2 linked regions of the Nothobranchius furzeri genome follow. The protein of the gene in region 1 purifies or fractionates together with the protein of each later gene. This does not show direct contact. Links are inferred from orthologs where the notes say so. Each region holds a gene or a part of one and is shown on either strand. Other genes may lie near its edges.

Region 1 (7,154 bases):
CCTGGCTCATCCCTTTAGTTATGCTGCTATGTGATACTATAGACTTAGACTCCTGGAGGACACGATGACTCTCCTCACTCAGCTGGCTTTGCTCTAGATGTTTGTATTAACTGTTGCTGCTGCCATTAACTTTGTTCCATCTGGATTGGTCTCTGACTCTTTCCTGCCTTCTTAGACCCCAGTCAGTCCTAGTTCTGGTTCTATACCTTACATCTTAACAGCTCCAAACTGGAGGCTATTCTCTTTGCCCCCTGCTCCCCCTCTGCTGTGGAGCCCTCTCTGCCCCCGTCATTGTCAGTTTTGGTGAAGCCGACAATTACAAACTTGGGTTCACTCTGGACGTTTTTAAAATGGATGCACAGATAAATCAGGTAGAGTCAGGTCATGTTTCGTTCATCTTCGCCGGCTGGCCAAACTAAAATCTGTCCTGAACAAAAAAGATCTTCAGTCAGTTGTTCATGCCTTTGTAACATCACGTCTGGACTATGCCAACTCTCTCTTATATGGTATTCCCTCCTCTTCAGTGGTACGCCTCCAACTGGTTCAGAATGCTGCCGCAAGGTTTCTTACGGGCGTAGACCGACGGCAGCATATCACCCCTGTTCTGGAAAATTTACACTGGCTTCCAGTTCGGTTTCGGATTAAGTTCAAAATTCTCCTGTTGGTTTACAACTCTATTCATGAAATGGCCCGCTCCTATTTGGCACATCTTTTGAGTCCCTCTGTTCCGGCGCGAACCCTGAGGTCCTCTGACAGCACATTCTGCTTGTACCCCCGGCCCGTTACATGGCCCGTGGCGAACGGGCTTTTTCAGTGTGTGCGCCTAAACTTTGGAACCAACTCCCCCTGGCCCTGACGGTCCAACTCGCCCCCTCCCTTCCCACTTTTAAAGTACGTTTGAAGACATATTTCTATTCCCTGGCCTTCCCGGCTGAGAGTGTTTAACCCGTCTGCTTTCCTGTTTTTATTTTTTATAGTTTTTATTTGTTTTATCTATTTTGGTGATGTATTGTCTTATACAGCACTTTGGTTGGCGTTGTCGCCGTTTAAATGTGCTTTATAAATACAAGTTGATGATGATGATTAAATGAAGTGATGCTTCAGTGTGTTTGGACAAACCTTCTCATTCTCAGGGTTCAAGTTTCAAGAGGTAGTCCCTCAAGACTGTTGGAAAACCATTTCAGGTGACAACCTCTTGAAGCTCATCAAAAGCCAAGAGTAATCAGAGCGGTGATCATGGACGTAATTTTCACTTGAGAAGTGGGGGGGACACGGGGGGGGGGGGATCTTTACAGTATGCTCTAATGGGAAACAGGTTTCAACACAAACGGCTGTTTTCCGCTTGGTCTTAGAGCTCAACCAGTGTCAATTTAATATAGCGTAATATTGTTTTTGGATGGTAAAAAGTGCAGGGGTCAAAACTTGATTTTGGAAAAAGTGGGGGGGACATGTCCCCCCTGTCCCCCCCCAAAATCACGTCCATGGCGGTGATCAGAGCAAAGGGTGGCCTTTTTAAGAAATTAGCGCACAAAACATGTTTTCAGTTATTTCACCTTTTTTGGTAAGTGCATGACTCCACATGTGTTCAATCATAGTTTTGATGCCTTCAGTCAGAATCTATGTAAATGATCATGAAAATAAAGAAAACACATTGAATGAGAAGGTGTGTCCAAAGCTTTGGCCTGTACCGTAGGTGTGAGTGAGCGTGTGGCTGGGTATCTGTCTCCGTGTGTCCCCAAGACTCCACTCAGATGCAAGAAGTTCAGAAAATGAATGAATAATAAATTAGACTAGGATGGATGGATGGATTAAACCTGGTTTGGGTGCAGGTGTGTACTAGTGGACCTTTTCGTACTTACCTACAGATCTTTGTGGAGAACCAAGTGATTTCTCAGCAGAATCACAAGTTCCATCAGGCTGAAGTAACAGAACAATGAAGGAATGAGCAAGGGCAGATAGTTTCATACAAATAGAGGACGGGTTTATGGAATATGCAGAGCAGCGGGTGAGTGTTTACCTTCAAGTGGTTCTGCAGACTATTCTGGTTCTCCACAGTGCTGCCTGAATCCAGTTGAACCACTGAGAAGACCTTGGTCACCACAGAGCTCTGTCTGCCATCACTGTATCAAACACAGTTATGGTCTGATAAACAGGAAGTGATGCAGTGCTACTTTTATTCCTGTCACTCGTTATCAGGTGAGTGTTTACCTGGTGACAGCCACAGCTTTGACAGACACCCGACCAGCAGGTAGCAGGATGGGCTCTGTGTACTTCCTGCTGCTGCCAGCTGCCCCTCTCTGCCCCAGCTCTGGCTTCGACCCATCCAACGTATAGAAGATCAGCACACCTGCAGAGTCTGCACGCACAAACTGTTGTTTAGATCAGCGCTGCAAGGTGGCAAATTTAGCAGAAACCCCGATCAGCCTCGTCGCAAGACAATAATTCAACCACAAAGTATCTTCAGTCAGAAGTTTCTTCAGATCTGCTGCAACACAGAAGATCCGTCCTGTATCCAGCTAGAACCGGATAGAGCTTGCTAGAAAAAGCTGGAACCAGCTAGATCCATGCTGTGTGTGTGTGTTGTGAAATTAACAAAAGAATATGAATGGATGGATAGATAGATGAATGGAGGACAGAAGTGTGTGGTGTGTGTGTGTGTGTGTGTGTGTGTGTGTGGGGGGGGGGGGGGGGGGGGGTACCTGACTGGATGGAGACAGGTGTTGTGGTATCGATGTGCTTCTTGGCTCGATGAGTTGGCAGGTAGATGATGGGAATGATAAGTGGAGGTAAAACAGCTCCTGCTGCCATGGTAACGGATATCAACAAATCAGGAGATCAGGGTTTCTTCTTCTTCAGTTAAAGCAGAAAAGAAAACTTGAGTTTTTTGAGTCCTTGTTTTAAAAGTGCTGCTCACAAACGTCCAGCTAGACCGTCACAACTCACTGAGACGTGATGATATCTGAAAAAACAGGATAGCAATCTAATGTACTAAATAAGAGGTTATAACGTCTCAACACTGATATTAATCAGCTGTCAGCCATTAGACAGCGCCCTCCGCTGGCTACCGGTTTACCGCTCCCGTACCGCACAGTTCTTGTTGTGTAGCGGAACCGTTTTTACGGTTATGAGCTCAAGAATACAGACGCATCGAGCTGGCTGGGAGATGAGACACTTCTGAGAACTGCAGCGTTTATACAACGTCACCATGGCAACAGAGTCTGTCTGAGACGAACGAGTAAGCACAAGTGCCTGCCCCTCGGGGCTGCCGCGAAACTTTCTACAAGTTCACTCTTTAGAAGTTCCTAGAAATGACAGGACTAGCATCTCATGAATGTTTAGAGAAATTTTCTCCGCTTGGATTTATTTGAATGTAGGCACTGGTGTTTCAGTAACTCGTTTTATTTAAATTGTAAAAATAATATAAAAAGTGGGTTCAATTGAAAAACATTAAAAAATGAGAAGTAATTTTGAGGATTAAAATAAGATTTTTTTTGTCTTTCACTTAACCGCTCAACTGAATCTCAATTAATTTATTTTTGAACGGGCAGTTTTCCGGACACCTACCGCTGGGTAAACATCTGTAAGGACCCCTCCAGGGCAATCTTGATACCGCCTGCTCTGAGATTGATTGTGGCGGACCAGAATCACCGCCTTAACGGAGCCGCTGCTCGGACACGAGCCACACGACCGGTTCAGAATGGCGGAGGTGAAGGTGAAGAAGGAGATGAACCAGACGGAACCCGCGGAGGTGGAGAGCAGGTTGGAACGGACCGGATTCTGTGTCCATTCGGTCGATTTGAACGTTTCTCATCCACAATCTCTCACATATCGGTGACAAGTTGAGTTTGGACCCGTTTTCGGGACGGGAACAGGCTCACTCAGACTTCGGCATTCACTTCACTCGTTTATTTGTCAAAAGAAAGTCCCAAAGTAGACTTCATGTCTTCAACGTGGCTGCCAGATTTGCACCATCGTTCTGTTACACCTGTTTGCTGTCTTGCACACGGACAGAGGCATTGCTTTCATACATGTTAAATAAAACATAAGTTTGTTGCAAATAAGAGGAGAATTGGAGGCAGCTGATTGAAGCGAAAACTGCTTTAAAAACAAAAGTTAATCATACGTGAAAAGACGTTCTGATGTGTTTAAACTTGTTTCTGTGACCCAGGATCAAAGATCTGTGTCAGCAGTTTCCTCAAGGTATCACAGACCAGGTGATCCAGAACGACATGCCTCACCTGGAGCCTCAGCAGAGAGCCATGGCCATTAACAAGCTGCTGGCCCTGGTGGGTTCGAGGACCTGACCCATGTCGGTCTCTGTGATGCTGATGGATGATCTGAACTGGTGTTCTATTCTATTATAGGGTCACCTGGACCTTCTCAGGAACAGTTCAGGTCTCCTGTACAGACTAAAGGACTCTCAGATGTCCAGGTAAGACCTGAGATCTGCTCGCTGGCCCCTGTGTGGTTTGGTTCTGCCTCTCTGAAACGCCTTTCTGTGCTTCAGTAAGATGAAAGGCTCAGACAGCCAGGAGAAGCTGGTCTATCAGGTGATTGAAGATGCAGGAAACAAAGGTACCAACCTATTTATGTCTAGAAACATGCAGCTCACCACTAACGGATTAGAACATCACGGCTGTGTAATGTGGCTGCAGGAATCTGGAGCAGAGACATCCGCTTTAAGAGCAACCTCCCTCTGACCGAGATCAACAAGATCCTGAAGAACCTCGAGAGCAAAAAACTCATAAAAGCTGTCAAGTCTGTGGCGGTGAGTGCTGTCGGAACAAAAACGTAGCCGGTTCATAAACCAGAGCATTGCTTTCTAACTAGTGATCAAAGTGTGTGTGTGTGTGTGTGTGTGTGTGTGTGTGTGTGTGTGTGTGTGTGTGTGTGTGTGTGTGTGTGTGTGTGTGTGTGTGTGTGTGTGTGTGTGTGTGTGTGTGTGTAGGCATCAAAGAAGAAGGTTTACATGCTGTACAACCTGCAGCCAGACCGCTCAGTAACAGGTGGGGCCTGGTACAGTGACCAGGACTTTGAGTCAGAGTTTGTGGAAGTTCTGAACCAGCAGTGCTTCAAATTCCTCCAGAGCAAGGTACACACACACACACACACACACACACACACACACACACACGCGTGCACTAAAACAGCAGAGGAGCACAAAAATGGGTGTTCACCTCAGCAACAGCCTGAACTTGTCCACAAATATGGATGACTTCTGCAGTGGAAATCATCCAATGTGGGTTTTTCTGTTGCCAACATCTTGATTTTAATTTTTTTCCCACCTGCCTGCTAAAGCGCAGCTGATGCTCAACATTCCTGACCCTGTTGAGTCTTATTTTTGTACTAAACTGCAATAAAATCAAATATTTAATCAAAGTTATTCAAACAAGTCACCAAATTAATTAGGAATTAAATAAGGAAAACAGGTGAATAAAAAATGTTAGTTACATTAATGTTTTAGAGGATTTATTTAGCAGATTTAAATTAAATAAATTCAAATTTGGAGTAAAAATACAAAAGAGCTGAAAACACAAAAGCAACATCTAAAATGCATCCTGTCTTTTGTTTTTGATTTTTACCAATAATTCTTAAAGAGCAAGTCACCCCCAAATCAGCTTTATTTGCTGATAAACTATATAAATGCATGCCTAATCGTGCTGCAGACACGTGTAGTCAATAGTTTTGCACTTTAGTGCATTTTAGTTCAAATTTAAATTTTCTGCCTAAAACTGTCAGTGTAGTACCGTTGTCAGGTAAAAACTCTTCACTGCATTTGAATTTAAACCTGCCATCGCTATTGGCTAAGAGGTACCCTCAGCTGGTACTAGTGATGGAAGTTCCAGCTCTTTTTAGAGAGCCGGTTCTTTTGGCTCAGCTCACCAAAAAGAGCCGGCTCTTTCGGCTCCCAAGTGGCTCCTCAGATTTTCTGTTGCGTGGAGTACATTTATAACCAAAATGATGATAAACTATATGTAAAATAATTTACTAATGTAAAAAAAGCAATATATCAAATATTTATCATTTCTATGGATTTAATAACTGAACACTTTAAGAAATCTCCACTTTCCGACTGCTGGCGCTCATTTTCTCACCGTCTTCGTCGCGCTCTCCCCTCTCTCTCTCTCTCTCTCTGTCTCTGTCTCTGTCTCTCTCTCTCTCTCTCTCTGTCTCTGTCTCTGTCTCTCTCTCTCTGTCTCTCTCTCTCTCTCTCTCTCTCTCACCTTTTTCCTCCTCCTCATTCCCTCTCGTCTCCCTCCACCTGCATGTGCTCTGCTGTGTGTCTGAGTCTGATCCTCCCTCTTCCCCGCCCCTACTGCTCTGTGTGTGGACAGTCTGGACACACAGTTACACATGCTGACCAATCGCCTGTAGCTTTCACCAAAGCAAGAGGGAAGGGGGGGGGGGGGGCACGGCTCCCAATGATGAGCCGGCTCTTAGGGCCGGTTCGTTCGCGACCGACACATCACTAGCTGGTACCATATGATGTCACAATGTTGTTGTGAGCCTGTGTGTGTGTGTATTAGTTAGCGGCTCCGCCCTCTCGGTCTGCTAGGCAACAGCATTTGTTGCATTTTTCAAACAGGAAGTGGGAGTGGAGTTAGACTCTGGTAGGGGGTGACTTGCTCTTTAAGTTAAACTAAATGAAGCCTTTTAATGATCTTGGCTTAGCAGCAGCATCATAGCAACAAACCTCTCATCCCCGAGACTGAACTTTGGGTATCCGTGGATGTGCCTGACTTTAAACCGGCCTGAAGGATCTCTCTCTCTCTCTCTCTCTCTCTCTCTCTCTCTCTCTCTCTCTCTCTCTCTCTCTCTCTCTCTCTCTCTCTCTCTCTCTCTCTCTCTCTCTCTCTCTCTCTCTCTCTCTCTCTCTCTCTCTCTCTCTCTCTCTCTCTCTCTCTCTCTCTCTCTCTCTCTCTCTCGTCGTCTTCACCTACTCCTTTGGGGTGAACTGAACTCAGTTATGGACCCTCTACAGCTCTGTGGTAGCGTCTGTTGTCCTTTTATGAGGTTTATTATGTTTGGTGGAAGTGTAGAGAGGGTCAAGGGGACATTAATCAAGCTGGTCAAGAGGGAAAGGGCAGTCCAGCACTGTCCCTTGAGGTGTGTGGAGCAGGTTTGAACCCCACCCCCAGACAGCGGGACAGACA
Region 2 (6,649 bases), on another chromosome or scaffold:
AAAGGCAAGTGAAATTATCTAAACACACACACACACACACACACAACTTTTTAGCAGCAATTAAATATTTCATGATTTTTTTTTCTTTTGTGCAATTTTAAACTAAAAAACTAGTTCATTTTAGAAAGTCACAATCAGCACATAAATATAAAAAAATCCAGATTAATTTCATGTAACTGAATCAATTTATAAGCTACAAATGTGTTAATTTTTTTCAAATGTGACAATTAAAGCTTTTTATAATTTTAGTATTGAAATCACATCTGAATTTGATTTGAAAATTTTGTCACTTTTCTAACTCGTCATTAGTCAAAAGATCCCGGATAAAAAAGCCTTTTAATCTGAAACATTTTCCATTTAGTCCATAGAGTTTTATTTTAATTTGCTTTATAAAATAACATTTGAAGTTTGTGTTTTAATGTTAATGAAAAGCTTTTGTTTGAGCCTGTTGGGTTTTTGTGGGGAGCTCGTACCACCACATGCAGGCCCAGGAGAGTCCGTTAAAGTTATAAATATTTAGTGTCCACATCTAAATGTCCTTCAGGCACAGAGGGCTTACCTGTCCACTGTCCCTTCCAGGTGTGTGAATGGGATTTAGTGGTCTTCATCCAGGGAAAAGGAAGCTGGTATCTGTTCTGATCTCCCGTGTCTCCATAACCCAGATTCTGGAGCGGGGACAGCTGGAGCCCCTGCGGGTGGTGCAGCTGTGGCACACCTGGATCCTCCCGCATGGGCACACTGTAAGTGGGGGCGATGTCCAGGCTGGCCTGCTCCAGGGCTCCCAAGGCCGGCGGTGTGTAGACGGAGTGCACGGGTCTGCTCATGTAGAGGCAGGGTGGAGGGCTGTAGTCCTCCCCCTGTGGTCTCTGGTAGACACAGGAGTCTTTAAACACCTGAGAGGGGTAGAATTGATCTTCTCGATTCATGGCTGGAGAGGAGCGGAGGTTACAGGGGGGCGTTAGACGCGGACATGCACCCTGTTCCTGCCGCCCTTCCTCGGTGTGGACCTTCGGCTCCACCTGTGGCGCAACTGCAAGGCCCCTGCTCCACACAGGTGTGTCACTCAGACATCATGTGACCCCAAGGCGCCCAATTCATTGGCTCCAGTGTTTGCTCGGAATGACAGCGCCCAGTTTCCATGATATTCTGCAGCTTTTCCCCCTGAGTTGAACAGAGCAGTGCGTAAAATCGGTGCCAAAACGTTCACATACACCAACTCCGAGTGGAACAACAAAAATTTGGATACTTTCTTCACGCAGGACTCTCGTCCACAGACATGGAAGCAATCGACATTTTATGCGAATATGAGTCTTGTAAATCGATACTATGGGTGCAAACATTGGGTTGACCTGCGAGATAAGGCACCCGTTGTCTTGGAAACACACCTTAGTTTCCACAGCCTTTTATTTTAGTCCAGCTCTTTCTGACGTTTAAATCTGTCCATTACACTTTTCTAAATGCATCATTTAACACCATTTTTGCGCGCGCTGCCTCAGACGATAAAAAAAACCTTGGCGACGACAAACACAACTCTGCTGCACTCTCCTCGTGTTTGCTGGCCATTAATCTTTGTGTGTCCTCGCCCCATTTAACAATAGCCCTCTTGGTTAGTCAATTATCATGAAGAGACCAACTGAACTCAATTAACCGCCGTGCGCGTTTGGAGCGCGCGTCTCCACGGCCTTTTACGCACGACTTTCAGACGCATGTTTGTCACGCGGGACGAGCCGGCTTTTATTTTGATAGTCTGCGCAGCTTCGATAGACTATTTGCACTCAGATCTTCAAAAGCAATTATAGCACTTTCCAATGAATCTTAATGGCAGCACTCAACGGTGCAATAAAGTCCAGGTGAGCCATTTCTATGCAAAACACCCCCCTGCAATATGGCCTAATGGCCTTTATATTTGATCATTGTTGTAAAGAGGAAGGAAATTGTTAACCCAGGCTGTTCCATATGTGATTTATGAGGCGTGTTGCCCGTTAAGAAGGGAGGCAATCAGAATCAGACACTTTCGTCCCTGTAAAGTTGTAGAAATAATAAAAGACAGTGGAGTCAGAAAAAATGGAAAGATTTAATGGCCATCTGCCATCTCAAAGTGAGGACAATCACACAAAATCAACAGATTGTTCCTGAAACAAAATAAATGAAATGTTTTTTAGCTTTTTCATTGAGTAACAAACCAGTTTTTGACGGCATGTCAAAAAATGATAAAACATGCTTACTCTGTGGCGACAGCAGCGTGGCCTATGTAAACATCATGACACGTGATGAATAGTAATGGCGTTATAATAGAGATTAGGTCCCCCTCCTGTGACGAACACGGTTACACCTCATCATGAGTCACGAGAGAGACTGTTTGACCTCATTCTGTTGCATTTTATTGGGAAAAAAGAAAATAATCTACCAGTACGTCCAAAGAGACAAAACTCACTCTATTTCTCTGTAAAATGATATTTTAAATAAAGTTTTTCTCTTTTAAACACAAAGCAAACAGCAGCACCTCTCAGTCGGTTATGAGCTCCTGAGACTAAAAACAAAGCCGGTCCATTCATGAAGTCTGAATCCGTCTTTTTTTGTCTCTTTTCTGTCCATCGGCATGTTTCCGGTCTCTGTCGTCTTGGTGTCTGCTGCGTCTGTCCTTATCTCTGTCCGGCCTCTTATCTCGACTTGTGCGGCGGTCCATGTGAGGACGTTTATGATCCGAGGGGCCGCCAGTATTCCTGTGATCAGGCGGAGGCGTTCTGCTGCGGTCACGCTGTCTGTCCGGGGACTCGCTCCGAAGGCGTCCTCTTGTGGAGGAACATTTGGCTTGGGGTTCCTCTGTGCGCCGGTGCAGGCCCGTGGAGCGCAGGGTGTTGAGTAAGAAGCGTTTGTTGGTGCTCTGTAGAGGACACTTCAACCTGGAGAAAAATCCACAAACATCAGACACAGATCCAGAAAAATCCAGCAGTTGATGCCGAAAGAAGAAATTTAATTTCACAGATTCAATCAGACTTCAGCAACATGACTTTTGTGGGTGTTTTATCCCTTTAACTATAGAATAAAGAGGCTAAATAAGAAATTTTCACACATACGATTGAAATGCCCCAAAAAAACCTTTAATGTATATATATGATATAAGACCTCAAATTAAAATACCAACAGATAAGATAACTTTTAGTGCAAAACTAACATTTTTAGGAAGACACGTGGTGTGTTCAGATGGTTTAATGAGAACATGAGCAAAATAATCTAATATTTAAAATAATACTAGACACTAAGTAATTATCCAAAAAGAAAAAAGAAAAGAAAGAAAGCCAATCCACATGAGAGGGTCAGAGATATTTCAGAGCTCACCATCCTGCAGGACCCATGGTCTCTGCTCTCACCCGGGCTCTGTCAGTCTCCCTCAGGAGCTCCTCCACGGCGCGCCTAGACGGAACCGGACCCAGAACCAGGAGAATGAGTCATGAGACAAACAGGACAGAAATTCTGAGCAGATGTACAAGAAATATAAGATGAAAGTAAAGCGGACGTGTCCTTGTTTGACCCGAAATGAGTCTCATCACCAGATTGGACTCGCTACTTATGCCGACCTGAAACTACACACAACAGGCAGCTAGAGTCAACAAGTCAACTTTAAATACAGTAAACAACTCAGATCAGAACTACTAACAGACTGTTTTTCCGCAGCGTTACATTTTAGAGGGAAAATGTCTGCAAATGTGTTCAGACGGAAGTTAATAAAGATACATTTACTCACTTTTCTAGCTCATTTTCTTCCGCCATTGCGTCTTAATCACACAAAAACTCTTACAAATAAATAAAAACCTAATAAAACCTATAAATTTACGTTAATTTACGAGGCATTTCTTGTTCACTTCGCCGAGAGGTCCTTCAATCGCGGACCCTGTTTTTAGCTGCCCGGAGCAATGCCTGTTCAGTTGCAAAATCATGTTGAAAATAAGTTATGAAACCAAACTACATTTTTTATTTACAAGTAGATATGTTTGTGTATTATGTATTGATCTTTTTTAATTAAAATAATTGATATTTTTAAAAGTTCAATAAGTTATGGGGCACCCCTGGAAAAACATTTACAGCTGATTGTTTTAGCAACATTTGGCCACAAATAACTTTAAAACAAACATAGAATCAAACAAATATATAAACACACTTTGTTAAAAAAAAGGATTTATACTCAAATCGAAACGTAAAATGTGACATTTAAACTTGTACATTTTTTATTTGATTAAACATTTTCCATTGGGAACTAAGCCAACTTAATTCTTTGGTAAATTGTAAAAATAATTTAAATACATACAATGGCTTAATCAAAAGTAAAGTGATAGTTACAGAATATCATCAAGCAAGATATTTTAGTAATCTAGATTGTGATACATTAAAGGACAATAACAAACATTTTTATTTAGAAGTAATCTTCTTAAAGAAGACATATTATGCCTTTTGCATCCTTTTTGTGCCGCCATGTGCACTCTGCCTCTATAAACGCTCCAAACATGCCAATGTGTGGTTGTAGAAATGTTGTGCCTAAAACAAGCTATTTGAAATTGTCCCCAATTGTGACATCACAAGCAGGCCCAGTGCCAATACTCGCATTGCGCCCTGCAGTCTTCAGCAAAGTGCACTTGGAGAAAGTGTGCAGTAAGGCTTCGAGTGCGTGGACTACAACTGTGCAAATAATTGCTGAAGTGAGACAGGGAGCATTGCGTCATGAAACGCAACGCATGCCGAGATGCTGGTCCTGTGATACTTTTTCAAAAGCCTTTATTAACAACTTTTAAACAAACAACCCATTATTTGAAATAAATTTTAATTAATTGCTGCTTTGTCTAAAACATTCAGAGCATCAACTGATTGTCCCAAAACTAACTCATTCCATTAGAAAATATTCAGAAAAGGAACTTGAACCCTTTCTCCTGCAGCAATGACTTGTGGGTAATACACTTCACCCAGCACTGTAAGAATACTTTTGAGGCAGATAATTAAGTATATATTTGTTCTGTTTTTTTCTATTCTATTCTATTCTATTCTATTCTATTCTATTCTATTCTATTCTATTCTATTCTAATTTTTGTTCTGATCCTGTTTTTGAACAGGCGGTCGGTGTAAGCCACCTCTAAACTCAGCTCCGTAGACTCCTCCCATCACCTTTTGATTGGCAGCGGTGGGCGGGATCAGCGGCGCCAACGGTACGGGGGCGTTTTCTTGCGGGCTTGCGGAGCTCTCCGTCGGTTGCGGCGAATGCGTGATCGACGCCCCGCAGCTGATAATTGCTCCCCGCTTTGGGGCCCGAGTGGACGGCGCGGAGGAGCCGCCGGAAGAAGGTAAAACATCCATCACATCTGGAGACATCCATCTCCTGCATGAGCTGTGTCAGCGAGCGGGGTTGATGCTGTCGCCTCTTCTGTCCTGTCCTCTCGCGCCTCCGCTTCTGCAGGATGGGATGAAGTCAGACAGCTGGGGAGGGAGGTGAAAGAGGGGTGCGATGATTTTAATAACGATGTTGACTTAACCGGAATATGACACTGCAGTTTATGCAAGGCAATCTGGGACGACGACACCGGGAGGAGGAGAAAATGCTAGATTTAATCAAATCAGTGTCTGTTTTTGTTGTCACCCCTGCACGTCTGCCTGGAGAAAAACAGACAATTGAAACACACCTTGCAGGCCTCTTCTAAATAAATTTAAAAACATGGATGAAGAGATCGGGTCGAACGTAAGATAAACTTGAGTTTTAAAATCTGTGGCCTAAATTATGATGCCATTTCTGTTGGTTATTGCATTTCTGCACGTGCTAAAACCTTAGTTTGTCATTTGTGTGTAGACAAAATTCTGTCATTCGTTAATACAATACAAAGCATGCATGCATTCATACTTCTGCAGAGGACTATTGTCCTGAAAAAGATCAAAGTGCTTTGAGAGTTCTAAAATCCCAAAGATTATTTTCAGGGCCTGCTGGATAAAGCTCGTGTGCTTGTTTGCGTATGCGCGTGCAGGTTTACGCCTGCATGTCTACACGTCTGTGTGTGATGTGGTGATGTCACAGCTTTGTTACAGAAACAGAGAAGCCTTGTGTCCTCATGATTAATTCATGTCCAGCTGCGGGATAGAGACAGAAGCAGCCAGTCACACACAGACAGGAGCATGTGCTTGAAAAGGAGACAGAAATAAGGGGCTACTGGTCCCGTGGCCAAGGAGACGGTAGGGACAGGTTTGTCAGGAGACAATCTGTGCAGATCAAATCAAACGCAAGAATAGAAATGAACCGGAGGGACTTTCATCCTGCTCTGCGCAGTGTGACGAGCTTTCAGCATCTTGCTGGGAGAAGTGCATCTGTTGTTGCGCCTCCTCTGCATCCTTCGCTGGCTACACTCTGAATGTCAAGCCCCACTGAGCAGAACAGGATGCAGGTCGTCATGGAGACAGGAGCAGACCCTTTGCTGGAACAGAGGCAGGTAGTCACTGTGGCTTGGCCACTGAGCAGGGAGGCACGCCCTCTACTGTCCGCTGAAGGCATCGGGCCCTCTGGGGTGTTGGAGGTCTGGAAGGCTCCGAGTGTGAACTCTTCTGCAGCAGCTCCAGGGACTTCCTCTGTTTGTTTTATTTCAAGACTTTGCTTAAGGCATGTTCTCTTCTTGCTGTG

Evidence for each region.
Region 2: the proteins of polr3f (region 1) and si:ch211-140b10.6 purify together in Homo sapiens (affinity purification with mass spectrometry; 3 studies listed by BioGRID and IntAct, with this or other methods). This does not show direct contact. The link is inferred for Nothobranchius furzeri from reciprocal best matches to the Homo sapiens genes POLR3F and POLR1D.

What each region holds. Positions count from the first base shown.
Region 1 is NC_091746.1:29,574,409-29,581,562, reverse strand, and holds the start of polr3f (DNA-directed RNA polymerase III subunit RPC6), read left to right. Parts: upstream 1-3,099; 5' UTR 3,100-3,235; intron 3,236-3,548; 5' UTR 3,549-3,697; coding exon 3,698-3,759; intron 3,760-4,168; coding exon 4,169-4,286; intron 4,287-4,364; coding exon 4,365-4,432; intron 4,433-4,507; coding exon 4,508-4,575; intron 4,576-4,655; coding exon 4,656-4,768; intron 4,769-4,948; coding exon 4,949-5,092; intron 5,093-7,154. Other genes in the region: dzank1 (double zinc ribbon and ankyrin repeat-containing protein 1), read right to left, coding at 1,860-1,917, 2,018-2,120, 2,209-2,356, 2,700-2,808. UniProt on the Homo sapiens protein: DNA-dependent RNA polymerase catalyzes the transcription of DNA into RNA using the four ribonucleoside triphosphates as substrates.
Region 2 is NC_091747.1:51,104,777-51,111,425, reverse strand, and holds si:ch211-140b10.6 (protein POLR1D), read right to left. Parts: upstream 3,917-6,649; 5' UTR 3,772-3,916; coding exon 3,746-3,771; intron 3,415-3,745; coding exon 3,340-3,414; intron 2,904-3,339; coding exon 2,552-2,903; 3' UTR 2,056-2,551; downstream 1-2,055. Other genes in the region: pdx1 (pancreas/duodenum homeobox protein 1), read right to left, coding at 560-926.